Canis lupus familiaris: one gene and its partners. The protein of the gene in region 7 purifies or fractionates together with the protein of the main gene of each other region. This does not show direct contact. Links are inferred from orthologs where the notes say so. Each region holds a gene or a part of one and is shown on either strand. Other genes may lie near its edges.

Region 1 (3,500 bases), on a different chromosome or scaffold from region 7:
GGGATTGAGTCCCACATCGGGTTTCCTGCATGGAGCCTGCTTCTCCCTCTGCCTGTGTCTCTGCCTCTCTCTCTCTCTCTGAATAAAAAAATAAATAAATCTTAAAAAAAAAATACAAATGATCAGACCATGCATCACAAAATTTTAAAAGACTGAGACTAAAAATTAGAACACAAAATCCTTTTTTTGGGGGGGGCACAGCAGATTCTCAAATCTAAAGGAGCACCTCTCTTTTGTCATCACTCTTATTTTACCTGAGATGATCCATATAATGGAATTTATAAGAATTAAACAGATGAGTCTTTACCGGAAAGACCACTCATTCCCAAAAGGGAAAGCTTGTTTTAAAAAAACCCACATCACTTCAAACAGAGACTTCCTCTTTGTGTTTAGAAGAGACTTGCCCCCCAAACAATGTGTAGCTTAATAAGCACACTTACTACAAAAATTGGTGATGCCTGCTGTCCTGTATTCCTGGAGCCTCTTGATTTCCCTTCGGAGTTCAAATTCCACTGTTTATCCCAAAAAGAATGAAGGAGAAAAATTGGAAAAACAAAATCATCATCAGTAAGCACTGGTGCTGTTGAGTATTTTCAGTAATACTGCCTTATACAAAAGACAGGGCAATTCCATGTGAGGAATCCTATTATGTTAGTGACATCTCATTAGAAATTTTACTCAAGAACTGAGAAAAATCTACTCTAGCCATCTTTTCGCTGCCATCTCCAACTGGAAAAAGCAGCTGGAATTGTCTCCCAGAAAACATACAGTAAACTGGCTGAGTTCATTTAGCTACAGAAGTAACAAATATAATTTTCTTAAACAACTAAGTTTCCCTGCTCTATTTATCCTCTAATAACAGTTTTATCCACGTAACCAAATTCTTTTATAAAACCTGTCTCTGCTATTACTTGATGTGGTCCTTTTGCAAGCAAAAGACAAAAGCTCTGTGCTCAAGTCCTAGATAGTTTCTTGACAGCTTTTCTCCTATAGGAACAAAAGAGCATTGTTTTCCATAGACCAAAGATTTCTTCCTCTGAGTGCACAGATCAGGTTGCAACTACTTGGGTTATTATGTGATAGAACATTCAAATTTGAGTGCTTTGAAACAGAGGATGAAGGAAGAGCCTGGACAATCCATTGGGTGTAGTTCTTTAGAGTGACACATAAACCAGGGATGGCACAAACTGGGGCAGGAAGTAAAAGATCAGTCACCTAGTACAAATCACAAAAAGAATGCCAACCAAACAGGGTGTTTGATGAGGACAACCGACCTGGCTCAGATAAATGCCTACAATGCCATGCAAGAAATATTTGCATGATGAGAACAGGACAAGAGCCCTGGTAAAGCATTTTCCCCAGGACTAAATTTGAGGGTCAAATACACAAATCTTGTGATGAAAAGGTATAGACTAAGCCACTTAGTCCAAATTATTTTAAAATGTAAGCCTTATGGCCTTAACAAACTTTAATTTTTTATAGTGAAAAATCAAATGAATTCTCTCAGACAGGCAAAAAAAAAAATGGCAGAAGCACTGGGGTGCCTGGCTGGCTGAGTCAGTTGAGCATGGACTCTTGATTTCAAGCCCCAAAGCCTGGGATTTGCTTCAAAATAATCCAGTTGAGGGTGAGAGAAGAGGGGGTGATAAAAATGAAAGTGGATTGGTCATGTATTAATTGCGGAGCTGGGTGATAGTTACATGGGGGTTCATTACACTATTATCTCTACCTTTGTATATATTTGAAAACTTCCATAATAAAAAGTGAGGGGAGAAACTACTAAACTACTGCTTAGCTGAGAAAAAGGAAAGCTACTGGGCTTTTTAACTCCTTCTCTTCCACCCCTGAAGTCCCAAATTTAGTTCAAGGTAATAAAGGGGAAGAGAAGACAAAAATATCCATTTATTTATTTATACAACTTCACCTAAAACATACCATTTTGTCTATTTATATCAACACACACAAACACAAATATTTGCACAAGGGTTAAAAAGCACCTACGTGCATGGCTTTCAATGAACTTGTCGTGCTCCACTGGCCCCACTATCCTTGCAAATCGCCTCATTGTTTCGTAAAGGTCTTGGACTTCCTTGGGATACCGTCGTTCCATTACTACAGAAAAAATAAAACACGACCATGCCATAGAAAAAATAAAAATCTCTACATTCTCATTAAATGGAAGGACAGACACTATTCCTAACCTGACTAATTTACCCATGACAGGAAGCAAACAGGAAAGCCAACAATGCAAAACACTAATCATAAAGATAACAGCATCACAGTGACTATCACATAGGGATATTGTTATTCCTGGAGAACTGAAGATCATCTGCATTACTGAACAGCCTGTGACCTCCACACCTCAGTCTCTTAATTTGTACAGGGGCAGGGACTGCTGGTAGTAATGGGAAAGACAAAGGTAGATCATGCATTTTTAGGAACAATGTTGGGCAAAATTTCTGGTATTAACCTCTGCAGGAAAACAAGGGAAATGCAGACACAATAATCCATCTAGAAGAGGCAGACTAGCCTATAAAAAATGTGTGATCTCTTCCATATCTACTAGAAATCTCCTTACCAACACATCCTCAAGTGAGACATTTATTTCTTCACTCTCTATAAGGGTCGTTTTGCCTTCCTCTAAGTACCACAACTTAATTTACTACTAATGAAATTATATTTTCATAACTATCATCCAAGTAAATGGTCATATATACAGGGTAGCCACAGTCAGTAACTCTGAGGATCACTAATGACCACATCCCCCCACCCCACTTTTTTTTAAGATTTTATTTGTTTATTCATAAGAGAGAGAGAGAGGCAGGCAGACGGAGAAGCAGGCTCCATGCAGGGAGCCCAATGTGGGACTTGATCCTGGGTCTCCAGGATTAGGCCCTGGACTGAAGGTGGCGCTAAACTGCTGAGCCACCTGGGCTGCCCTAATGACCACATTCCTAATAAAAAGTACTATCAGCAAAGAAGATGGGGAGTAAAACCTACCAACAATAAGTGGTAGGTTGGAGTAGCCAGGAACTGCTACTTGGTCATTTCATTCAGATGAACTAAGCTGAAACTTATTAGGTGAGTTAATCAGTAACTAAGCTAGTTCTGCTCACTTCTAGAGTATAGATACATGCTTTCCATTATGATAGTTATTTAAATTAAGTCCTCTTGGGCAGCCCAGGTGGCTCAAGTAGTTTAGCACTGCCTTTGGCCCAGGGCCTGATCCTGGAGACCCAGAATCGAGTCCCATGTCAGGCTCCTTGCATGGTGCCTGCTTCTTCCTCTGCCTGTGTCTCTGCTTCTCTCTCTCCTCTCTGTGTATTCTCAGAAATAAATAAAAACAATCTTTAATAAATAAATAAATAAATAAAGTCCTTTTTTCAGCTGAATCTCTTCCCTTGAAAGAGAGATTCTTATCCACAAAGTTCAGGTGCTGATTTCATGGGCAGCCACTGATTATTTTCACTACCAAAAAACCCCCCACAACCAAAAGCAAA
Region 2 (4,096 bases), on a different chromosome or scaffold from region 7:
AACTACATGTTTTCAAGATCTAAAAGGACTCTTGATAATCAATTCCCAAAAGTGATAAACACAAAAAGATATACACAGGATACAGAAAATCACCAATGGCAAATATATGTTAAAAAATGTTCAAACAAACAAACAAAAAAATGTTCAAACACTCTAGTAATCAATGAATGAAAAATTAAACAAGACACCATTTTTCACCTACCAAATTTAGTTTGGGAGCAGATGGAAATAAGGCATCTCGAAAAAGGCCCAGGTTTTTCTAATCCACACTCATTATCTTCCCTTCCTCAAGCCCCAATCAATTAATTATTCCAATCCCGTTTCCATCTCCCACTTCTAGAACTCTGGATAATAATAACAATGACCAGAGGTGCCTGGCTGGTTCAGCTGGTGGCACATGAGACTCTTGATCTCCAGGTTTTAAGTTCAAGCCCCACGATGGGTGTAGAGATCACTAAAAATTTTTTAATCTTAAAAATAATAATACCAATAACAAAACCAACAACCTCCAAATCCAATTGAGCATCTCACTAAACATCTCAAAGTCAGGGATGGACATCCTCTATCCTCTCTGAACTTATTTTTCCTGGCTTCCATGACACCTTTTGGTCTTCTGCCTTTTTTCCCTACCTCATTGGCTGTTTCTTCCATTCTATGTTCAATCTTCTTCCCATACTGCAGCTCGAAGTATTAGCGATCAAGTGTCAATTTTCACTTCTCTATCTATATTCTTTCCCTTGGTGATCTCATGCAGTCCCATACCTTTCAATATCATCTATGTAATGAATTCCAAAGTTTTATCTAACAGCTCCTAGCTCTCTCTTCCATGAGCTCTAAACCTGCACATCCAATTTCCTCAATATACCAACTTCATAACTGATATACATCTCACATTTAATATACCCAAAACAGAACTCGTGATTTTTCCCCCTTCAAGTTTCTCTTCCATTCTTCTCCCTCTCAGTAAATGTCACTATCTACCCATAGCTGCTCAAAACAACTACCAAAAAAAAAAAAAGAGAGAGAATTCTTGGGGCATCTGATTAGCTCAGTAAGTAGAGGATGCAACTCTTGATCTCAGAGACCTGAGTTCAAGCCCCAGGATGGGAAGAGAGTTTAACTTAATTTTAAAAAATATATAAAAGGGTGCTTGGGTGACCGAGTATGTTAAACATTCGACTCTTGACAGTTCAAGTCATGATCTCAGGGCCAAAAGATAGAGCCCCACTTCAGCTCCGCGCTCAGCAGAGTGTCTACTGGAGATTCTCTCTCTCTCTCTCCTCCCCACCCCTGCCCCCTCCTCCTGCTCTCTAGGACTCAAGCAATCCTTCTCTCTCAAATAAACAAATCCTTAAAAACACATTAAAAAAAAAAAAAGTAAAGAAGTCTCCTATTTTCCCACTAACCCACTCACAAGTCTTGTTCATTCTACAACCAAAATAATGTTTAAATCTCTGTACTCTTCATCTCGCTGCCACGGACCTAGTTCAAGGTACTGCAAACAGCATCCTAACTGATCTCCCCGCTCCCATATTCACCCTCTTCCTCTACAGAGCAGTCAGATTATGCTACCTGCCTTCTTAAAACCTTCAAAGGATTCGTATGAAAACTAAATTCCTAACCAGGGCATTATCTGCCCCACTATCTTTGAAAGAATATACAGAACCAAAAATACGCAATATCTCGAGGCAGCAGAACTATGAATACTCTTCCTCATTTTGCTTGTCTATATTTCTTCATTTTTCTATGATGAATACTTGCTATTTGCTTATTAAGAATAAAGGATACTGCCGAATACTGTATATTACATCTCGTTTTAACACCATAAGGAGAAAAGAGAATGGAAAATTGTAAGTAAACTCTAATTGCAACTGTTACAAGCTCAGATGAAAATACCAGCAAACACATCCAGAACACTAAGAAAGAGGTGTCAGGGCCGTGGGGTTATTTGGTGATATTTTCCTCCTCTACTTTCTATTCTTTACCCTGATTACACTCACGATAGAAGACAAGGTTATGATATAAACCTCATTCATTGTCTTTTGCAATCCGGCCACAACCCACCAAACCAGCCTTTCCTCCAAGTCCTCACTTTCCCAAGCTTTCCGCTGTCACCCCGCACTGTGTCACGCCTCTGGTGCTTCTAACTGGAGCGTATGCCTGGAAAATCCTCCAACCTTTCTAAATCCCACTCATCCTTCGCGAGGGAGGACCGTAAGGATGGCGACAGGTTGGAAGCAGACTCCGCGGTGCCTGTCGGTAAACCCACAACTTGCCGGTGCTGGAGCCAAATCTCGTCTCCGTCTCCACCGCAGGCCACCGAGCCCAACAGGCCGAGAGCTCCAGCCCCGGGGGTCCCTGACCCCGCCGCCCTCGGAGAGCGCTGAGCCCCGAGGAAGGACCCCACACACGCAGCTGCAGGCTCCCGCTCCGGAGACGCCCCCGACCGGCACGCTCACCCGGCCCGCTCCCCGCGGTGCTCGGCGGCCCGCAGTCGCCGGCTCCCTCCCCCTCCCCCGCCCGCCGGGGCCGCGCGGCGGGCAGGGTGGGGGAGGGGAGCGCACGTGCCCGCGCCGCCCCCGCCCAGACAATGCCCGGGAGAGCGGAGCGCGCGCCCGGCCGGCCCGACCCCGCTCCCGCCAACACTCACCCTCTCCCGGGTCTCCGGCCGAAGCGCAGGGCCCGCCGGGCGCGGCGAGAGGGCACGAGGGAGGTGCGGGAGCGGGCGAAGCCCCGCGGAGCCGCCCCGCCACGAGGCCCCAGCGACCCCGGAGCCCGCGGAAGCACACGGCTCGGCGGAGCCCGCCCGTCCGTCCCTCTCGGCCTCGCACGTCAGCACCAGGGGCGGGGCGAGGCGCGCGTGCGCGGCGGCGGCGGCGGCGCGCGCGCGGCCCGGGGGCGGGGCTTGCAGGGATGTGGGCGGGGCCGGGGCTCCCGCGGGGGCTGGGCCCCGCGCAGGGCTGGAGCTGGGGTTGGCGGCGGCCGGACTCTGATGGGGACTGGTGCTGCCGCACTGCCTGGGGAGCCTGGATGCCCGTTCTGGCAGAGGCACCGTCATTTATCATATTCCTCCCTAGAAGATGGCGAGTTCCAGCCTCCGGTCTGACAGACCGATATTCATTCTCCCAGCGTAGATGAACCTCCCACAGGTCTAAAACAGTAGTAATGATTTGTGTGTGTTTATCATCTTGTGCCAAGCTTTGTGTTAGGTGCTAGGGATACGGATAACAATAGTTATCACTGACCTATTATGCAGATGCAGAAATTGAGGCTCGGAAAGGTTGGGACTTCACTAGTTTATACAACTAGTGAGTGACCATCCATCAAATCCTAAGTATCTTTTGAGCCCACCTTTCCCTTTCTTTCTTCCTGTAACATCCTGCCTGAGGCCTCATCATCTCTCTGCCCAAGACTGCTGCAGCTCTCCAGGGATCTGTCTCTGTCTTCCTTCAATCTGTTCAACTCACTGTGTAAAAATTTACCCCTGGAGCTGAGTAGTAGGTTTAGAGAGAGTTCACTTATAATTTTTTATACTATTTATGTCATCAATTTTTTGGATGTACTTAAATTTAATAAATTGTTCTAAAGAATTTAGCATGCATGCAAAAAGTATTTGTTGAAGGGTGCCTAGGTGGCTCAGTGGGTTGAGCATCTGCCCTAGGCTCAGGTCATGATCCCAGAGTCCTGGGATGGAGTCCACTCCCTGCTCAGCAGGAAACCTGCTTCTCCCTCTGCCTCCTTCTGCCTGCCACTCCCTGTGCTTATGCTCTCTCTCTGTCAAATAAAATCTTAAAAAAATAAAAAGAAAAAGTATTTGTTAGGGGCACCTGCCTAGCACAGCCGGTTGAGCCTCCAACTCTTGGTTTCTACCAAGGTCCTGATCTCAGGGTGGTGGGATAGAGACCCTCCTCAGGCTCTGCTCATCAGAGAGTCAGCTTGAGATTCTCTCTCTCTCCATCCCCCCCACCCCCACTCCACCCTCATCTTCCTCTGCCCCTCCCCCTCAGACAAGCACATGTGTGCAGTGCGTGCTCCCTCTCAAATAAATAAATATTTTTAAAATACACATTTGTTGAATAAATGAATAGTAAGGCCA
Region 3 (4,062 bases), on a different chromosome or scaffold from region 7:
CAAGCCATATTTTAAAAATTAATTCCCAGCAAAAAGGGTGAAAAACCTTCACCCACCTTGCTGGGCCCTGAGCAGACACACTATTCCAAAATGAGGAACCTATCTGTGGAGCTAAGTCTGCACTAAATACTCTTCAGATGCTAAGACAGGCTGCCCAGGCCCCTTTTGTCCATGTAATCCAAGGCCCCACCTTCAAGGGTGCTCCCTACTGTTATCCTCCTGGTAGGAATGCAGCTCAGGCCAGGCAAACAAAATGCAATTTTCTTCAAAGAGCCCTTGAAACGTAACAAAAAAAAAAAAAACAACCCTAAACCAACCCAAATTACAGGAGACTGAGCTTCAGGGTGTAGAAATTTGGGAACTCGTCCAAATCCTCACAAGTGATGCAACAGTGCTTAACTACCACGTTTGAAAATATACAAGAGCAGACACCCCCCCACCCCCCACCCCCCGCCCCACAGCGGTCTGCATCTCCCAGGGGGCTTCCCTGTCGTCTGGTGTAGACACAAGGCCGCCTCCAGAACCCTGGCAGCTCAAAAGGCGCTCTGTCCCTCGTGAGGCGACTACAAGACACAGCTGAGAAGTGCAAACCAGAGCCAGCCCTGTCTGCTGCTGAAGCCTGAAGTGTACACAGATCGGCTGCAAGCAAGCTCTCGCTGCAGGAGGGGAAAGACCGCAGCTCAATTAGGTTTCAGCGTGACAATGGGAGCTACCCAAGCTGTACAGCAAGCGACTCATTTGCTCTAGCCCAGGAACAGATTCCAGATCCTAGATGCGTCTCCTAGAAGCACACCTGGTGACTCTGAAATGGGGGAACCACCATGGTGTTCTTGCAGACATCACTGGTCATCCAATTCCTGGAAGCTTGCACCACTGTTAATCTAATGGTGTACACGGTGTAAAATTCTAGCTTGGCACTTAAAACTGAAAGCTTGCACGACTCCTTGTCACACCAAGGCAAAATGGAAGTCCATCAAAAAAAAGACCACGTCTTAAAGTCTTTATCCAAAAGGGAAATTACAATGCAACATACTTGTGCAGAGCACAGATGTGGTCCCACTGGCTACCTGTATATAGCAAGGACTTGGGCTTATGCCCAAGGATGGATCCTGCTGCACCCAAAGGCCAAGTCCTGGAGCAGGTCACATAATCACGCCCAGATACAAAAATGCTGGCACAAAGCTGGTGCTCAGCAAATACTAGCTGGTTTGTGAGTAAATTTAGTGCAACCCGGTCATGCCAATTAATCCGAGTGCTGCCTTGCTCTAGGTGGATGGACAAGTGGGGGGCGGGGGGAAGCTATGGAAGACAGCTGGAAAGACTGACTCACAAAACCTAGTATCTGAAGAAGGTATCAGCAAGAGCTAGGAGAGGTGTGGGGGAGAAACAGCAGTGGGAACAGAAGAGACTTCCTCTGGGGGTGACCTGGGCAGCTCAGGGAACCCAGAGCTGCTCCTTTTAACATAAAAATTGAGACCCGCCGGGAGGTGGAGTGTGACTCCCAGCAAACTACCTGCCCTCAAGGTGAGGACTAGAGAATACCACAGCTAATCTCACAGAAGAGGTGTGCGAACCCCTCCCAGCTCCATCAAATCCAATCTGCCAATCCCTTGGGCTAGCAAAACATTAATGTGCAATTTCTTGACTCCATGCCCCCAGTTTCCATTCAAGAGGAGGGAAAGCCTTGCATTGTCCGCGATGCTCAGGGAAAGCAACGGGGCAGCTGCTTAGGGACCGGCCTCCAGAGCACACGCCACCTGACCCCTCTGGGCCCTCACAGGCCTTTCACCCAGGTGAGCCTGACCATCCCAAACCGGGGTGCTCACCTGCACTGCTTGTAAAATGCAGATCCCCGGACTCCACCCGAGACTGGCCCACAGGCAGGTAACCCGGTGACCCGCAGGTGGCCGGACCAAGGGGGCGGGGTGTGCCGCTCTCCCCGCCTGTTTGTTCCGCGCGGAGCTTCCAGCCCAGCTTACCTATCTGCCTTCTGGGAGGGGGCCGGGCCGACCTCGGAGGCAGCGTGTGGCACAGCAGCTGCCAGTGCCGAAGCGCCGGGTAAGGGACCTGGGTGGGCAGAAAGCGGCATGAGAAGGCCACAGGGAGTGTCTCTGCCGTCACCCAAAATGGCTGTGGCACAGCACACTCAGGCGGCGCGGGGCGCTGCGGAGCGGGGTCCCCGGCTGCTGAGGGCGAGCCGCACCTGGGCCCGGCCGCCCGGGCTGGGGGTCAGCAGCAGGGCGCGGCGGGGGGCGTTTCCGCAGAGAGGGGCGCCGCGGTCCGCGCGCCCGGCCAGGACCCCGCCGCCGGGTCTGGGCTCTTTCTTCGGAGCAGCGGCGGAGAGCTCGGGGAGACGCGCGCCGGCTGCAGCAGCAGGTCCCCGGCCCGGCCCGCGCGCTGTCACCGGGCCGCTGGGGGGCCGCAGCGCGGTCGCGGGGGACGCTCGGGAGGGGCTGGCCGCGAGGAGGCGGAGGGGTCGCCGCGGGGCCCGGGCGCGGGCGAGGGCGAGGGCCGCGGGGTGGGCACCGGAAGGGAGGCGGTGGGGGCGCGGGCGCGGCACCGGGAGGGCCCCGGCGGGGCTGGGCCGGGACCTGGGACCTGGGACCCGGGACCCGGGACCCGGGACCTGGGCCCGGCCCGCCGGAACACGTGCGGCGGCGGGGCGGGCCGGGGGGCAGCCGGCGTCGGCCCCCGCCCGCACCCCGTGTGCGGTCTCTGGCCCAGCGGGCCCCGCTTACCTGCCGGCCGCGGCGGCGGGGCGGGCGCTCGGGGCGTCGCGTCGCCGCCGCCTGGGCGGGAGCCGGGCCGAGCTGGACGAGGCGGCGCGGCGGGGGGGGGGGGGGGGGGGGGGAGTGCGCGTGCGCGTGCGCGGGGGGCGGGGCGGCGGCGGGGCGGGGCGAGTGCACAAAGCCGGCCTCTCGGAGGGGCACTACGGGGAGCGGCGAGGGGCACAAGGCCTGGGGCAGGCCCAACGCCTTAAAGGGACGGCGTGCAAAGGGGTAACCTCAAAGTTGGCTGGTGCAGGTCCTTCTTGTGCACTTTCTAAAAACGGAAGTATGATGATACCTCCAGGAAAGTGCCAGTGTGCCCCTCGAAAGTTCACCTCCTGAACGCGGCCTGCAGCGGCGCCTCCAGAAAGCAGCAGGGCTCGCCCCCGGGCGTGCAGGGGAGGCAGGGCCCGAGGGTTCGTGGGAGACCCTCCCTCGGGGATCGCTGCCCCTCTCCGCCGTGGCGCGCAGCTGACCGCCGCAGCCCGTGTGCACCGCAGCCGGCGGCGCTGGTGTCTCCGCGCATGCCCGCCCCGGAAGCCAGGACCGGAGCCAGCAAGGTTGAGGGTGCCGGCTCCCCTGCGCTTCGCCCCCCCCCCCCCACCCCCAGCTCTCCTGCGCGGTCTGCCGGCCACCGCCACCGCCACCGGCAGAGAGCCCCGGCCAGGGACAGTGCAGGGCCGTCCTACCGGCAGTCACCAGGCGCAGGCCGCTCTGCTGTCTGCAAGGTGGGCTCCAGGACAGTTTGTCATGGCCGGGTACACACGAGGAAGGGGAACCCCAGAGGAGAGGGCTCGTGCAAACGGAGAGCCTGCAGCCCGCCTTCTGGCCCAAGTCCTGTGTGTTCTCATCCCGTTGGGGGGGGGGGGGGGGACACGACAACGACACGCGGGCCTTACAGTCCTGGAGGCAGTCTTCAGCTCCCAGGCCCCAACCCCCATCCCAGGCAGCATCACCTGCAGTCTTATTTCCCAATTAAGGACGGAAACACCAAATATGTGGCAGGAACCTGTGCTAACAAGAGGACATCATGTAAAAAGGAAATGCCCAGGGAACAAGGTGTGTGGTTGTCCAGGACACAAGCTGAGACAGGCTGCTGGTCTGCAGGCCACTCCCAAGGAGCATCGTGTGGCGCCAAGTCTCTGGCCCTGGCGTGGCGCTGTGTGGATCTCTGTTCCTGGGAGCCTAGTCACCTTGGGCCACCTTTGTTACAGAAGTTAACAAACCAGCACAAGATGAAGAAGGACCCTCCACCTGGCCACCTGGGCTGGAATCTGAGCCCATGTGGGCACTC
Region 4 (3,500 bases), on a different chromosome or scaffold from region 7:
GATCCCCAAGAATGATGCCCCCAACAGGTTCTGGGCCAGAGAGCATAGAAGGGCCTTGGGATTCAGACAGTAGAGGCTGTGGAGGGGCCTAGAGCTGAGGATGGTGGGATAGGAGGTACCCATTCAGGATCTGCTTCTCCCTGCAGGTTCTGGGCCTCTGTAGAGCCCTACTGTGCTGATATCACCAGTGAGGAAGTACGCACACTAGAGGAACTACTGAAACCCCCAGAAGATGAGGCTGAACATTACAAGGTAGAAACCCTGGGCCTCAGTAGACGGGGGTGAGTGAGAGGGCTCAGAGGTGCCTCGGAATCACAGATCCCAAAGTCATGTACCATCTTCCTTCCCCTGCTCTACCCCTACTTTGCTTAACCCACCCAGACACCTAGGCTCTAATTCTCGGCTCTCTTCTTACATTGCCTCCTCTACCCCATCCGGATGATCACCACATACATCCTAAAGCATCTACTTCAGTGACACTGTCCTTTGTCCCAACATCTCTATCACCTCTGCTTTGATTCAAGCCCTCATTAGTTTTCACCCAAATAGTCTCTTAATACTTCTCTGCCTCCAGAGGAACTTTCTGTTTTCTTTCTTTAATATATTAATTTTATTGTGATGTAAATAAAACAGGTTCCATTAAAGAAAATGTACAAAATACAGAAAACCGTCAGGGAGAACTCCAATAGGTCAGCTACTGTGATCGGATGTGACCCAACCCTGCTCCCACGCATCCCCTGGCTCCCATAACACACAAGGTGGAGTCTAACACCTCGGTCCTTGGTGACTCAGCCCCATGGCCCCCTGCAGCTTCCTCAGCCATGCCCCCTTGTCACTGTTGGATTTACTACCCCACCAAGCACCTTGCCCTCACCCAGGCCCACCAAGGCTCCTTACTAACCCCTGGGCCTCTACACATGCTCTTTTTCCCTTACCAAACTAACTCATCCTTTAAAGCACTGATCCCTTGTTATCTCCACCAAACACTTTTGCAGACTCCCCCCAGAAAGTTTCTCTGTCATGTGCCACAACACCTTGACCTACTTCTAGCACTTGAGTTCTTTGAATTTTTTAAAAAATGTATTTGAAATAAAAATTATTTATTTATTAAAAATAAAAATTATATAGGTAGTAGTAAATTTAGGTAATAACAAATGAGAACTTCCTCTCTTGACACTAAGGCTCCTGGTTCTCTCTAGGGACAACAGCTGTGACCTGAGATGGTCCACATAGGTATACCATTCTGCACCTGTATCTTGGAGATTATTACGTACTGGCTCCCATGTGTGTCTTAGTTGGTTATGTACCTGTCTCCCTTGCTAGATTGTGAGCATAGAGATTTTTTTTTTTTTTTTGAGATTTTTATCTCCTTCATTTCTTCCCACATACACAAGGCTCAGACTTCAGCCCTGGGGGTAGGTCCTTGGGAGACAGCAAAGGGATGGATGATGAGCCTATTAGCAGTGCCCAAGTGCACAGAGATCCCCCACTCACCCTGGGCATGGCTTGCCAGTGCTTACTCGTTTTCGGCTGGGTGGCATCTCCCCACAGATCCCACCCCTGGGGAAGCACTACTCCCAACGCTGGGCGCAGGAGGACCTGCTGGAGGAACAGAAGGATGGGGCCCGAGCAGCAGCCGTGGCTGACAAGAAGAAAGGCCTTATGGGGCCACTGACTGAACTGGACACTAAAGGTAGGCCCCTCACCTCCCTGCCCACCCCAGACCAGGACCTGAGTTTGCAGAACTCAGCCCACCTGTCTACTGTTTCTCTGCCCACTTCAGATGTGGATGCCCTGCTGAAGAAGTCTGAGGCCCAGCATGAGCAGCCTGAAGATGGGTGCCCCTTTGGTGCTCTGACGCAGCGCCTCCTACAGGCCCTGGTGGAGGTGAGCACCCTAATTCAAAACAAGGATTATGTTTACTTACTGTTTTAATGTTTTATTTTGTGTTGAAGTATATCATGCATTTAGAAAGGTAATGTAGATCTTAAAAATGTATAGACTCATAAATTTTCACACATGAGCACACTTGTATACCTGGTCTCCTGATCACAAAATAAAGCATTGCCAGTATCCTGGAGCCCTTCTCATGCCTCTCCCAGACTCTAACCTCACCTAAAAGTAGCCACTACACCACAGTTACTTTTGTCAGCCTTAACCAGTATGCTGGTTAAGGGCTGAGCCCCGTGCAAGGGCTTTCCACACATCCTCTTGTTGGAGGCAAGGACAGTGGCTAGCCCCGTGTTGCATACCAGAAGATTGAAGCTCAGAAAAGGGAACTGTTTGCCTGAGGTTGTACAGCCAATAAGTAGAAGCCAGGCTCAAACCCCAGGTGCAGAGTCCCTTTCTTTATGCCTTCTTTCTTTTTGTCTGGCCTTAGGCACATCTTTTACCTCTTTAAGCCTTGGATTTCCCCCGGCTCCAACACAGTAGTGTTTTTCTCTCTCATGGAATAGTCTGAGCTATGTTCCAAGTTGGCTGAGGTGGAAGTGAGGGAAGATCTCAGCCCCACACCATCACACAAGGACCCCGGCTATGGGGGCTTTGCCACCCTAAACATGCACTCTGCACAAGGGTCATTCTAGGTGTGATTGCTGCTCCAAGCCCACAGAAAAAGAGCAAGGAAGAATGTGAAGGAAGGTTTATGGGCCATGACTGACTGTGGCTCTTATCTCTTCTGATCACTTTTCACTGGAGAGAATTGGTCACGTGACCACATCTGACTACAAGGGAAGCTGGGAAGTATAGTGTAGCTGGGCAGCCATAAGCCCCACTACAGAAAGGTGAGAATGGCTTTTGGACAGCCAGCAGCTCATGCCGCAGCAAACTTAGCACAGTGCCTGGTCAATGCAAAAGCTTAGCTCTTCTCTTTACTGTTGTTGAGTGTTATCATTGCTCTTCTGTGCTCCCTTCTTTTGGTATCAGTACAAAAACGGGATTTCTACAATGATCAGAGCTTTCTGGTATCAGTTTGAGAAGGCTTCCCAGAGGATGGGAACAATAAAAGAATATTTCTGTGAAGACTGAAGACTCTAACTGCAGGTTAGAGAGGAACAAGAAGATGGAAATGCTGTAACTCTTACTCCCTCCATCCCATTCCTGTGGTCTTCTAGGAAAATATCATTTCCCCTATGGAGGACTCTCCTATTCCCGACATGTCTGGGAAGGAATCAGGAGCGGATGGGGCAAGCACCTCTCCCCGTAATCAGAACAAGCCCTTCAGGTGAGTGACAACTCTGTCCATATCCTACTATCTGGCCCCTGCCTCTATTGACTTCGTCACATCCCAGCATGGGGAGGTCTTCATTAAAAGAGTTGAGGGCATTTTGATGAAGCCGCATAAAAGTTTCATTTTTTAAATATATATATATATTTTTAGTATTTATTTATTCATAAGAGACACAGAGAGAGGCAGAGACATAAGCAGAGAGAGAAGCAGGCTCCCTACAGGGAGCCCTGATACAGGACTCAATCCCAGGACCCCAGGATCATGACCTGAG
Region 5 (3,022 bases), about 51 Mb from region 7:
TCATGAGGAAAGGTGAGTACCCATGCAGGATGGCCATCTGGGGAGGCAAACATGAAAACGGAGGCAAGAGTTGGCCTGGGCCATCTGGGGCCTGCTCTGCAGCCGGGACCTGCAGCCACCTTCTCCTCCACCCACAGGCATCTCGGGGGACTGGAAGACCACCTTCACTGTGGCCCAGAATGAGCGCTTTGATGCCGACTATGCCAAGAAGATGGAGGGTTGTGGCCTCAGCTTCCGCACACAGCTGTGAGCAGTGCCCCCAGGAGGCACCCAAAGGCCCCGTGCTCTGACACAGCCAGCCCCCAGCTTCAAAAATAAAATTCCATTGGTATTACACTGAGAGCCTTTAATGCAAGCAAAAAGCAAACCTGAGCTGGAAGGAATTCCCCCTGGGATCAAATGAAGCTATCTTCCCTCCCTCCAGCTCTCCAATTCCCCAACCTGCCCTGGTATGGGGAGGGGCAGAAGGGCCTGGAAAAACAAAACCGAGGAGACGTGGGCAAAGGGGAACAATATTTATTTGCCACAATCTTTTGTTGCATTCCCCTGGGGGAGTGGCAGGAGATCTTGAGTCTGCCAGCCCACTTCACTTTTTCTTGGGCTCCTTACAAGCCACCACGTACCTCTGGGCCACATTGAGGGGAGGGGAGTAACCATCTGCATAGGAGGTGTCTTCAAACAGGACTGAATAGTCATCCTGGGGCTGCGGCAGGGGGCAGACAGGAGGGGCTAGTCAGAGACCCCCAGGCAAGGCCCCCCAGCCCAGACTGACAGAAACCTCTGGTACACGGGCTCCCAGCCTCTCCTGTCCCCATCTTCACTCAGAATTTAGTTCCTGCTATGACACAACCCTATTCTCGGCAACAAAGTGCCAGGGGACAAAGAGCAGGGAGGAGGAAGATTCGCGGTCTACGTTGGGGGGATTCTACATGGAGAGTCTGGTGCCTTTTGGGGACCCTCTAAGAAGGAGATCAGGGAAAACACCGAGGGCAGCAGGCAGGGATCCTGGAGGAAGCAAGCAGAGCAGCCTTGAAGCTGCCATCAGGTGTTGGGTCACCAGCACAAGGGAGCATGGCCTCAGATGAAGAAAGGCCAGTGGTGGATGAGTCAAGGCAGGGAAGACAGGTCCTGGGCACAGTGCTTCCCACCTCAGGGCTGCTCGTCTCAGTGCAAAAGTGGGGTGAGACTAGAGGATATACTGGTTCCATTCCACTCGGGGTTTGCTAGGACTCTGAGGATTAGCTGGCACTGCCTTAGGGGACAGGGCTTGAGGGCCCCTATGGGGCAGAGTAAGCAGGAGAGAGGGAGAAACTTGCAGGACTCTCTTAGCTCAGAGGGGCTGTCAGATGAGGACAGGAGGGGAAAAAGTGGAAGGTGACCCCAAGACCATCTGGTCAGCCCAGTCCTGGTGTCATGGTCTGTCTCCCCTGCAGGGGTTACCTTACCCGTTGTGGGGGCGTGTGGATCAGGGCACGGTAGAAGCAGGTGGTCTGAGGATACAGGGCCAGCACGAGCTGCTCCTTCTGAAATAAGGCTTCGGGGTCTGTCTCTGGGTTGGCTTTCCACTGGGGCAGAGGGATGATGCGCCGCCGGCTCAGGGTATGTCTCCTGGAAGGGGGGCTTAGATCAACCCACAGCCAGGTGGGAGGCTCCTTCCCAGCAGCTTCCATGGTCCCTCCCTGCCCAACACTCACTCTTTGCCTTCTTCATCAATGTCATCTACCTCATACCTGGAGAACAAAGAGAAAACAGAGGATGCAGGGAGATGCACGGTCCGAACCGGAGAGCGATGAGGAGGGGAAGCATCCCAGGGAGCTGGAGTCACACATCATCCCTGTCCCCACAGGGACCCTGGAGTGGGGTGGGGGGCTCTTCTCCCAGCCTACAGATGGGAGAGTCCACGGAGGGCCGGGTGTCCACTTACTTGTTGGTGGCGTGGCTGTAACTGACCACCTCAGCCAGGATCCACTGCTCATCCCCATCCACGGCCTTGACCCGGGCAGCCACCTTGTCTCCAGGTTTGGCCACGTAGTCCCCAGAGGCTGGAATGGCCCCACAGAGGGGTGGGGGCCTGAGGATGAACTGAGAGGTTAGTCCCAGCCCCTCCCTCCTGTCAGCTCCGCCCCTTGACCCCGGGCCTGCCCTCACTTGTCACCAGGTTTCCCGATCCACAAGGGCAGGGTCATGGCCGACTGCTGCAGCAGCGTCATCAGCACCCCCCTGCGCATGGTCTTCCGGGGGGGCTCCGAGTCATTGTACAGGCCCGCGATCTTGGCCGCTGCAGGAAGGAAGCGCGCCCCTGAGGCCCCAGAGATGGGGCTCCTGCCCCGGACCCTCGTTTGTACCGGTGCACGGAGCCATCAGTGGAGCTCAGCCTGGGGCCCACCTCCTTAATTACCACCAAGGGCCCCCCAGCAGATGCTTGCCGTCAGAGGCCCAATCTGCTCTCACAGATCTGGTAGATGTTGCTCTCAAGATCCCCTTGCAGGGAAGGAACCAAAGAGGGCAAAAGAAGGGTTCTGAGGTACTGGTCACATCTGTTTGCTTGGTTAGTGAAAATTTCATAAAGTTCTCTGTACAGTTAGGTCAGTCCTCTACTGAGTAGATGTCATTCAATAAAAAAAAGAATGTAGACAGTCTCCTGACCTTCTCAGGCATGGCTCAACACACTCAAAGTTGCACAAAGCCAACTGGCAGTGTGACGTTTTGATAGGCAAGCAGCCTGCCTACTGTGGGTTCACTGAAAGGGTAAGAGAGGTGGGAGAGCCACAGCAGTCTAAAAGTTCAGATTTGGAAGCCAACACCCTCTGTAAACTCCCATCTGAAGGATGGTTCTCACAAAGCAGCAGGTTGCTTACCGCAGCAAGAAGTGTGAGTGGGGGAGGGTAGCAGGAAGGAGGCTACTGCCTCAGGTACAAGGGGGAGAGAAGCCTTAGGGGACGGGGCACAATCTTCCAAGTCTGTAGAGGGTCACTGAGAGCCCCTGCCTCTTAGCGCTGGTAATGACCTCCAACCCCTCCCA
Region 6 (2,247 bases), on a different chromosome or scaffold from region 7:
TTGAGCTGGCTCTGAGTGCAGCCCCTAGAACAAAGGATCTGACTGTGGTCAGATCTCCGATGCAGATTCTAACTGTGCACGCACAGTCTTCTAGAGACTATTAGGCTTCCTTTGGATTCTCACAGGGATCCGCATCCCCATAAGTTAAGAATCATTGCTCTTAATTAGATTGAAGCTCTGGCCATAGATAGTCACAAGGAAAGATTTTTGAGAACATCTGATACTTTTGGAAAAGCTCCTGCTCGATCCAAAAAACCCCACCTGACAGTCCATCTCTAACACTCTCTATAAACCAAAGAGCCTGGTCCTGCAGACCACACAGGCTCTGTCCCCAGCTGGCTCTACTTCCACCACCCACACCTCCAGCCAGGAGCACAGTCTCACTGGCAGGCAGCTCAGACACTCCAAGCCCAAACCAACTTCCCAGACATGGGAAGGATGGGTCTCCACCCTCCGGCCAAAGCTCCTGACAGGAGATGTAACAGAACAGGTGACACACATGTGGACACACATACTCTGTTTATTTGGACTGTGGCCAAAGTCAGTGAAAGACAGCAGAATCTCAGTGCCCTAGAGAAGTCCTCTTGGGTTCAACAACAGCTCACTCATGGCTGGGAGAGTGCTGGCCTCCCCTCGTGCGCTAACTCTCCCATCGGCCCTGACCGGCTAGAGCATCAATCGTTCATGGCTACCACACTTCCTCATCCTTTCAATGAAGAGATTCTCTCGAGGAGGGTATCAGCTTAGATACTCCTTTGTTCTTGCAAGCTGTCGGATAGACAGCATTGTTCAGTTCCAGTGAACTGTGGAGTCCTGAGACAGGGGCCAAGGCCTGTGCAGAAGGGACAGGTTTGCTGAAGGGCTGCTCGCTTCTTGATTCCACTGCCCCACCACCCATCTAGCCTTGGGTGAGAGATCTGAATGGCCGTCTGATGGCAGAGATTAGGGCCCTGGGAGACAGGAGCACCTGCCTGTGGGCCGGAATGAGGAGCCACCTGGAACAGCACCTGCGTCTCTGGAGCGCTGCATTCACCTCAGCGCCGGAGCCTCAGGAAGAATGCGTGTTTACACTCTGTACTCTCCAACGGGTAATATTTATCATAGAAATCTAAGACGTATTCTTCAGTCTTGAATCCAAACTTCTGGTAGAGCAGCATAGCGGGGTTGCTTGCTGAGACGTGAAGGGTCACATCCTTGCCCATGCAGGTCTGCCAAAAGAGTGGAAAAGTACCCGGTGAGAAGGAAAGAGCCTGAGGGAGATGAGTAGGTGAGGGAGTCTGTGAAGTGTAGGTAGGTGGTTATGACAACCGGGGACAGCCGGGACGGCAGCTGGGAGCCACAGCGCTGGGGACAGCTGGGAGCCCCAGTCTGTGGCCCAGCCACACACTCACTGAAGTGTTCGAGACTAAGGAAAGGATAGTGTGCTGCGTGTTTTTGCTCTCTGGGACAAAGGGCCCAGAGGGATAGTTTATTGTCAACAGATTATTTTATTTATAATTCAATTACACTTCCAAATACCAATACCTAGCACTGACAATCCTGAAGGAGAGAACAAGACGAGAAGTTCTGCTTTCTAAAACCGATGTTAGCTTGTACTCAAACTTGTAAAAATGCCCTTCCTAGACCCACCAGAAAAGATGCTAAGTATGAGGCTGGATACAAGGTATTAGGACTTTTAATTAGTTATGAAAGCTGAAGACTTGGTATGGACCTTTGGAATCCCACAGGCCCCCTCCCATCCATCCCAAACTAACATTACTGGAGTAATCTTCATTCTATTAATATGAGGCAAGTTCTTAAGATTCTTTAATTAGCTACACAGAAGAAAGAACTCAAAGTCATATAAATATAAACTAAGACCTAGCTTTCTTTTTTTTTTTTTTTAAATTTTTAATTTATTTATGATAGTCACACACAGAGAGAGAGAGAGAGAGAGGCAGAGACACAGGCAGAGGGAGGAGCAGGCTCCATGCACCAGGAGCCCGACGTGGGATTCGATCCCGGGTCTCCAGGATCGTGCCCTGGGCCAAAGGCAGGCGCTAAACCGCTGCGCCACCCAGGGATCCCAAGACCTAGCTTTCTGATGAGGAAGGCACTGAAGTACTGAGGTTGACAGGGTCCTTGAGATTTGGTAACCCACAGTTCCCCCAGGCATAGATTTAAGTAAGGGACTCTCAGGTAGACAACTGCACTCTTTTCTCTGCTTCTCTTACATTGTGCGCCCAGTGGGACTGCTATGAGTGCATT
Region 7 (4,145 bases):
ATGGTCCATCTAATGAATAACTACTCTTAGCTATCACCTCAAAAATCAGAAAGATTTTTCAAAGATAATGCCTATAACTTTTTGCTCCACTATAATTACCAAAGGAGTATGGTTTATTTTGGGAATTGAGAGACTGGCAATCCTCCATTAACATCAACATTCTAGTTGATATTTATTATCATAATATTTAGTTTTATTAATTGAACAATTTTTAGGAAACTGGTCATGATACCATATCAAACCAAAGTAAAAGGCAAAAAAAAGAGCAAGAGCAACTGAAAGTGTTACCAATATGTTTCTTCTGTCTAGAACATAAACATGAGTTGCTTAGTAATGGTTCAGACTATCCTTGTCACACAATCCTTTTAAGACAAATTTCCTCAGTTGAGCAATTACCACTATAAGGTTAAAAGTAGGAGAGTGAAACATGGGGACCCACTTATGCAATTCTTAATATTTGTGTTTTGATGCTAAATTCTAATACATACTGCCTTAAAGGGATCTCTTCTTTCTTCCCCATTAAGAGAAACAGATATATGATAGATTAACATAGATACAAAGACAGAAAGCTGAATGAATACATACTTAAAAAAAAAAAACAAAACTGAGGAGAAACAAAAGTCGAGGAATTTCATAATGCCCCCTTCAATCAAAAATACCTAAAATGTCAAAGATAGGTATAATGCTCTAGAGATTCCAACATACTTAATCATTAATCATTTCATTTATACCCCTGTTGGGAAGAGTGGGAAAATATATCATTGCTAACCCATTCCCTATTGCTCCATACTCATATGAATTGCCAGGCAGACTGCACAATATACCATGCAGAATAAAGAATATAAATACAAGTTACCCCCCACCCACAAAAAAATATCAAACTACAGTTGTCTTCACTACTGCAAAACTAAATAACTTACCTGTACAACCAAAGATCTATCATTGTGGAAATATTATCTCTTTTCCTTATATCCTGAAGGAGTTGGAGCTATGATCTAGAATAGAGCTTAAGCATCAGGGTTTCAGACTCTCAGCTTCAGCCACGGAGAATACTAGAACCTCCCAAAATTCCTTTCTTTAAAATAAAATAATAAAAAAAAATTAAAGAAACAAATTAACTTATGCTAATAGACTTACCCCTTCTATAAGAGGAAACAGCAGATAACAGAATATCTATTCATAGTAACATCTTTGATATTTCTTAGCAACTCTGTAGCCTCAGAGATACCAAGAAACTGGAAACAGATTTTTAAAAACCAACAAAAACAAAGCAAAAAGAGCTTGAAATATACTGAATCCTCATAACAACTCATTATTAGTTTGCATCCAAATGTCACTCCATTCTTCTCTAGAGTCTGTGGGCAATATTCTTTTGCGGTGACCCAAAGACTGCCTTTAATAAAATTTCTCATATAGAATTTATTATCTCTTACTCTTATATTCTAGAGCCCTACCCAAACTTTGGCCTTCAAGTATTCAAAACTAGGGACTGACCAACAAAAATAATTTAAGTCATGCACACCAAAGAATCAACTAAGTCTTCAAATATCTATATGATAACTTTGATGACTACTAGCATTAAGATTTTATTACAAAGAGAAATTTCTATTATTTTTGGTGTATGGATTTTCAACTAGGACAAAAGGAATAAGGATTTTTAGCTTTAAGACTCAGTTGGCCAGGTATTTTAATTAATCTAATTATACTCCCATTTCTTGGACAGTCTGGTTAATTAAGAGTTTTATTTTATAACAATGCATTATGATATCCTTTTCAGAGAATCTGGCTAAATGGTTATTATGACTGCCCATTTGGAAACAAGGAGGAACACCAGAAAAAGACGAGTGATGTGTTTATATGATGCATATTGTCACTTTACTATAAAAATGAAAGAAGGTATTTTAAAAGTGACACTATTGTCACAGTGAAGGATTACAATTTTAAAAATGATACAGTTAACAAACCTTGTAAACTAGAGTTACTGCCTAGTAAAAGTAAACAGATTACAGTTTTAGTCAGCTAGGAGATCAGTACTAATATCTAGTATCTACAGATGCAACCTCTCCCAAATATGGCCTGTAAACTCTTGAAAACCACAAGGTAGGAAAATTGTCTAAATAAAATCATTTAATACATTAAGAAATATTCTAAATTAACATGAGGAGTGTGTACAGTGAAAACATGATCCTATAAAAAGTAACCCTTAACTTGAAAATGCACTCCTCTTACAACAAAAACTCCAACAAGTGCCAACTCCTCTATACCCAACCTTGAAAGCCTTTCATGGCAAAACATTACATTCCACAGTGTGTGGTGGGAGTGGCAAACATCAGAGGCAGAGGATCTACAGTTTAAGATATGTCTCTGAGTATACATGGACATTCCATTCTAGCACTTAATTCCAGTTCCAGTCCACCTTCTACCCATTGTGGATTGGGTTTACTATAGGAACCTCACTCATTATGATAGTTACAAGGCAAGTCTATCTGCAACTGTCATTTTCACAGAAGAACTGATACTTACAGCTGAGTTCTACCAGTATTAAGAAAGACAGGATCACCCAGATGTTTCTTAAAAAGCCTGATACACTGAAAAAGAAACTTTAGTCAATTACTTCTACTAACTAAAGCCCGCTTGGCCTTAATTAAGATTACATTTTTCTTACCTTTTTAAAAGTGTTTTTCGCCTAGTATTTGATTCCCAAGCGTCTGTATTTATCTGTCATCACTGTTAATGTCCATGTTACATTGAGACTTCAGGTATTAATTATTTATATGGATGTACTAGCACAACTTGATATCTGTGAAGGGAAACCACAATATAGTCACTATAGATGTGTTACTGTTTACAGACTTGTGGACAAAAGTGCTATTTCTAAACACTTTGATAACACACTGTATTTTTTTTTCACACTGTATTTTCTAAACTGTACAAATAATTCCTTATATTAGGCTGCAAAATAAGTGCAATCTTCAATAGACTAAGATAATTTGCTAACACTCTTACAAATGCTTCTCAGAGTATCCACATATTTTAATGTTTCATTCTAAATTAAGATTCTTACAAATTTGACAGCTCCTTAGATACGTTTTCTGACTACCAATGTAGATATAACTCATTTTCCAGAAGCCTATAATTACTCATGCATTAATAGAAAAGTATTTTGTGTGTGTTTTACAATACTAGGGAATAAATCTATAATGGTTAAAAATGCAGTAAAACAGATCACAACTTTCTCCTTAAATGTGACTTTAAAATATGCCAGGTCTTTTAAAGTAATAATTTTGTCTTGTTTAGATTATCCCTCTAGAATAATTTGTGAATATTATTTTGGAAGTAAATAGAAAATAAATGTGATGTAATAAATCAAGAGATAGTTATCCAAATGTTCCCTAAAAGTAAGGTGAAAAAACATGATGATGTGGTTATAAATTACAACTCTGAGAAACATCAATGTGCTTAATATCATGACAAAAAAGCACATGATCTAAAACTTTTAAGTAATTTCAACCAACTTACTAGAAAACCATGAGCTACAAAAAACCTCATTCATCTGTATCACAGAAAGCTACGAATGGCATTTTAAAATGATTTATCACTGCATGCCATTCCAAATTCCTACATAATAAAAAGAAAAGGCAAAAATCTACACAGAAAATGCAGATAGCCAGTTCGCCTGGGTGGCTCAGCTGGTTAGGTGTCCAACTCTTGATTTTGGATCGGGTCATGACCTTAGAGTCATGAGATCAAGTCCCAAACTGGGACTCAAGCTGGGCATGGAGCCTGCTTGGGATTCTTCTTCTCCTCTCCCCCTATTTGCACTGTCTCTTGAAAGAAATGAAGGAAGGAAAGAAGGAAGAAGGAAGGTAAGAAGGAAGGTAAAAAGAATATTGATTGCCTTACACCTGTTTGTGTATAAAATTTGATACTGGGGTTGTCAACCTGCCAGATCTAACTAGTGAAAAGTTTTATTATTAATAGAGTAGAAACTAATATAATGTTATGTCAATTATGTTTCAATTAAAAAAAAGAGTAAATAGTGTTTAAGAAACACTGATCTCTACCATCAAGCACTTAAGTCTATTCATTGGTTTTACAAATGTTAAACAATGCCATAAAACTTAACACTAAGCATTAGTGATAAT

The links.
Region 1: the proteins of ZZZ3 (region 7) and TADA2A purify together in Homo sapiens (affinity purification with mass spectrometry; 4 studies listed by BioGRID and IntAct, with this or other methods). This does not show direct contact. The link is inferred for Canis lupus familiaris from reciprocal best matches to the Homo sapiens genes ZZZ3 and TADA2A.
Region 2: the proteins of ZZZ3 (region 7) and YEATS2 purify together in Homo sapiens (affinity purification with mass spectrometry; 3 studies listed by BioGRID, with this or other methods). This does not show direct contact. The link is inferred for Canis lupus familiaris from reciprocal best matches to the Homo sapiens genes ZZZ3 and YEATS2.
Region 3: the proteins of ZZZ3 (region 7) and WDR5 purify together in Homo sapiens (affinity purification with mass spectrometry; 5 studies listed by BioGRID and IntAct, counting the BioPlex papers as one, with this or other methods). This does not show direct contact. The link is inferred for Canis lupus familiaris from reciprocal best matches to the Homo sapiens genes ZZZ3 and WDR5.
Region 4: the proteins of ZZZ3 (region 7) and TADA3 purify together in Homo sapiens (affinity purification with mass spectrometry; 4 studies listed by BioGRID and IntAct, counting the BioPlex papers as one, with this or other methods). This does not show direct contact. The link is inferred for Canis lupus familiaris from reciprocal best matches to the Homo sapiens genes ZZZ3 and TADA3.
Region 5: the proteins of ZZZ3 (region 7) and SGF29 purify together in Homo sapiens (affinity purification with mass spectrometry; 7 studies listed by BioGRID and IntAct, counting the BioPlex papers as one, with this or other methods). This does not show direct contact. The link is inferred for Canis lupus familiaris from reciprocal best matches to the Homo sapiens genes ZZZ3 and SGF29.
Region 6: the proteins of ZZZ3 (region 7) and KAT14 purify together in Homo sapiens (affinity purification with mass spectrometry; 4 studies listed by BioGRID and IntAct, with this or other methods). This does not show direct contact. The link is inferred for Canis lupus familiaris from reciprocal best matches to the Homo sapiens genes ZZZ3 and KAT14.

What each region holds. Positions count from the first base shown.
Region 1 is NC_049230.1:37,195,765-37,199,264, reverse strand, and holds part of TADA2A (transcriptional adapter 2-alpha), read right to left. Parts: intron 2,113-3,500; coding exon 2,002-2,112; intron 513-2,001; coding exon 441-512; intron 1-440. UniProt on the Homo sapiens protein: Component of the ATAC complex, a complex with histone acetyltransferase activity on histones H3 and H4. Required for the function of some acidic activation domains, which activate transcription from a distant site. Binds double-stranded DNA.
Region 2 is NC_049255.1:16,824,727-16,828,822, reverse strand, and holds the start of YEATS2 (YEATS domain-containing protein 2), read right to left. Parts: upstream 2,801-4,096; 5' UTR 2,651-2,800; intron 1-2,650. UniProt on the Homo sapiens protein: Chromatin reader component of the ATAC complex, a complex with histone acetyltransferase activity on histones H3 and H4. YEATS2 specifically recognizes and binds histone H3 crotonylated at 'Lys-27' (H3K27cr).
Region 3 is NC_049230.1:50,406,160-50,410,221, reverse strand, and holds the start of WDR5 (WD repeat-containing protein 5), read right to left. Parts: upstream 2,801-4,062; 5' UTR 2,739-2,800; intron 2,068-2,738; 5' UTR 1,980-2,067; intron 1,974-1,979; exon of another isoform or gene 1,827-1,973; intron 1-1,826.
Region 4 is NC_049241.1:8,526,278-8,529,777, forward strand, and holds part of TADA3 (transcriptional adapter 3), read left to right. Parts: coding exon 1-27; intron 28-146; coding exon 147-252; intron 253-1,551; coding exon 1,552-1,693; intron 1,694-1,783; coding exon 1,784-1,887; intron 1,888-3,113; coding exon 3,114-3,223; intron 3,224-3,500. UniProt on the Homo sapiens protein: Functions as a component of the PCAF complex. The PCAF complex is capable of efficiently acetylating histones in a nucleosomal context. The PCAF complex could be considered as the human version of the yeast SAGA complex.
Region 5 is NC_049227.1:18,345,519-18,348,540, forward strand, and holds the end of SGF29 (SAGA-associated factor 29), read right to left. Parts: intron 2,279-3,022; coding exon 2,149-2,278; intron 2,072-2,148; coding exon 1,925-2,071; intron 1,731-1,924; coding exon 1,695-1,730; intron 1,609-1,694; coding exon 1,446-1,608; intron 704-1,445; coding exon 587-703; 3' UTR 501-586; downstream 1-500. Other genes in the region: SULT1A1 (sulfotransferase 1A1), read left to right, coding at 1-12, 138-250. UniProt on the Homo sapiens protein: Chromatin reader component of some histone acetyltransferase (HAT) SAGA-type complexes like the TFTC-HAT, ATAC or STAGA complexes.
Region 6 is NC_049245.1:5,323,672-5,325,918, forward strand, and holds the end of KAT14 (cysteine-rich protein 2-binding protein), read right to left. Parts: intron 1,209-2,247; coding exon 1,035-1,208; 3' UTR 501-1,034; downstream 1-500. UniProt on the Homo sapiens protein: Component of the ATAC complex, a complex with histone acetyltransferase activity on histones H3 and H4. May function as a scaffold for the ATAC complex to promote ATAC complex stability. Has also weak histone acetyltransferase activity toward histone H4.
Region 7 is NC_049227.1:69,739,425-69,743,569, reverse strand, and holds the start of ZZZ3 (ZZ-type zinc finger-containing protein 3), read right to left. Parts: upstream 2,801-4,145; 5' UTR 2,666-2,800; intron 2,589-2,665; 5' UTR 2,524-2,588; intron 1,076-2,523; 5' UTR 944-1,075; coding exon of another isoform or gene 921-943; intron 1-920.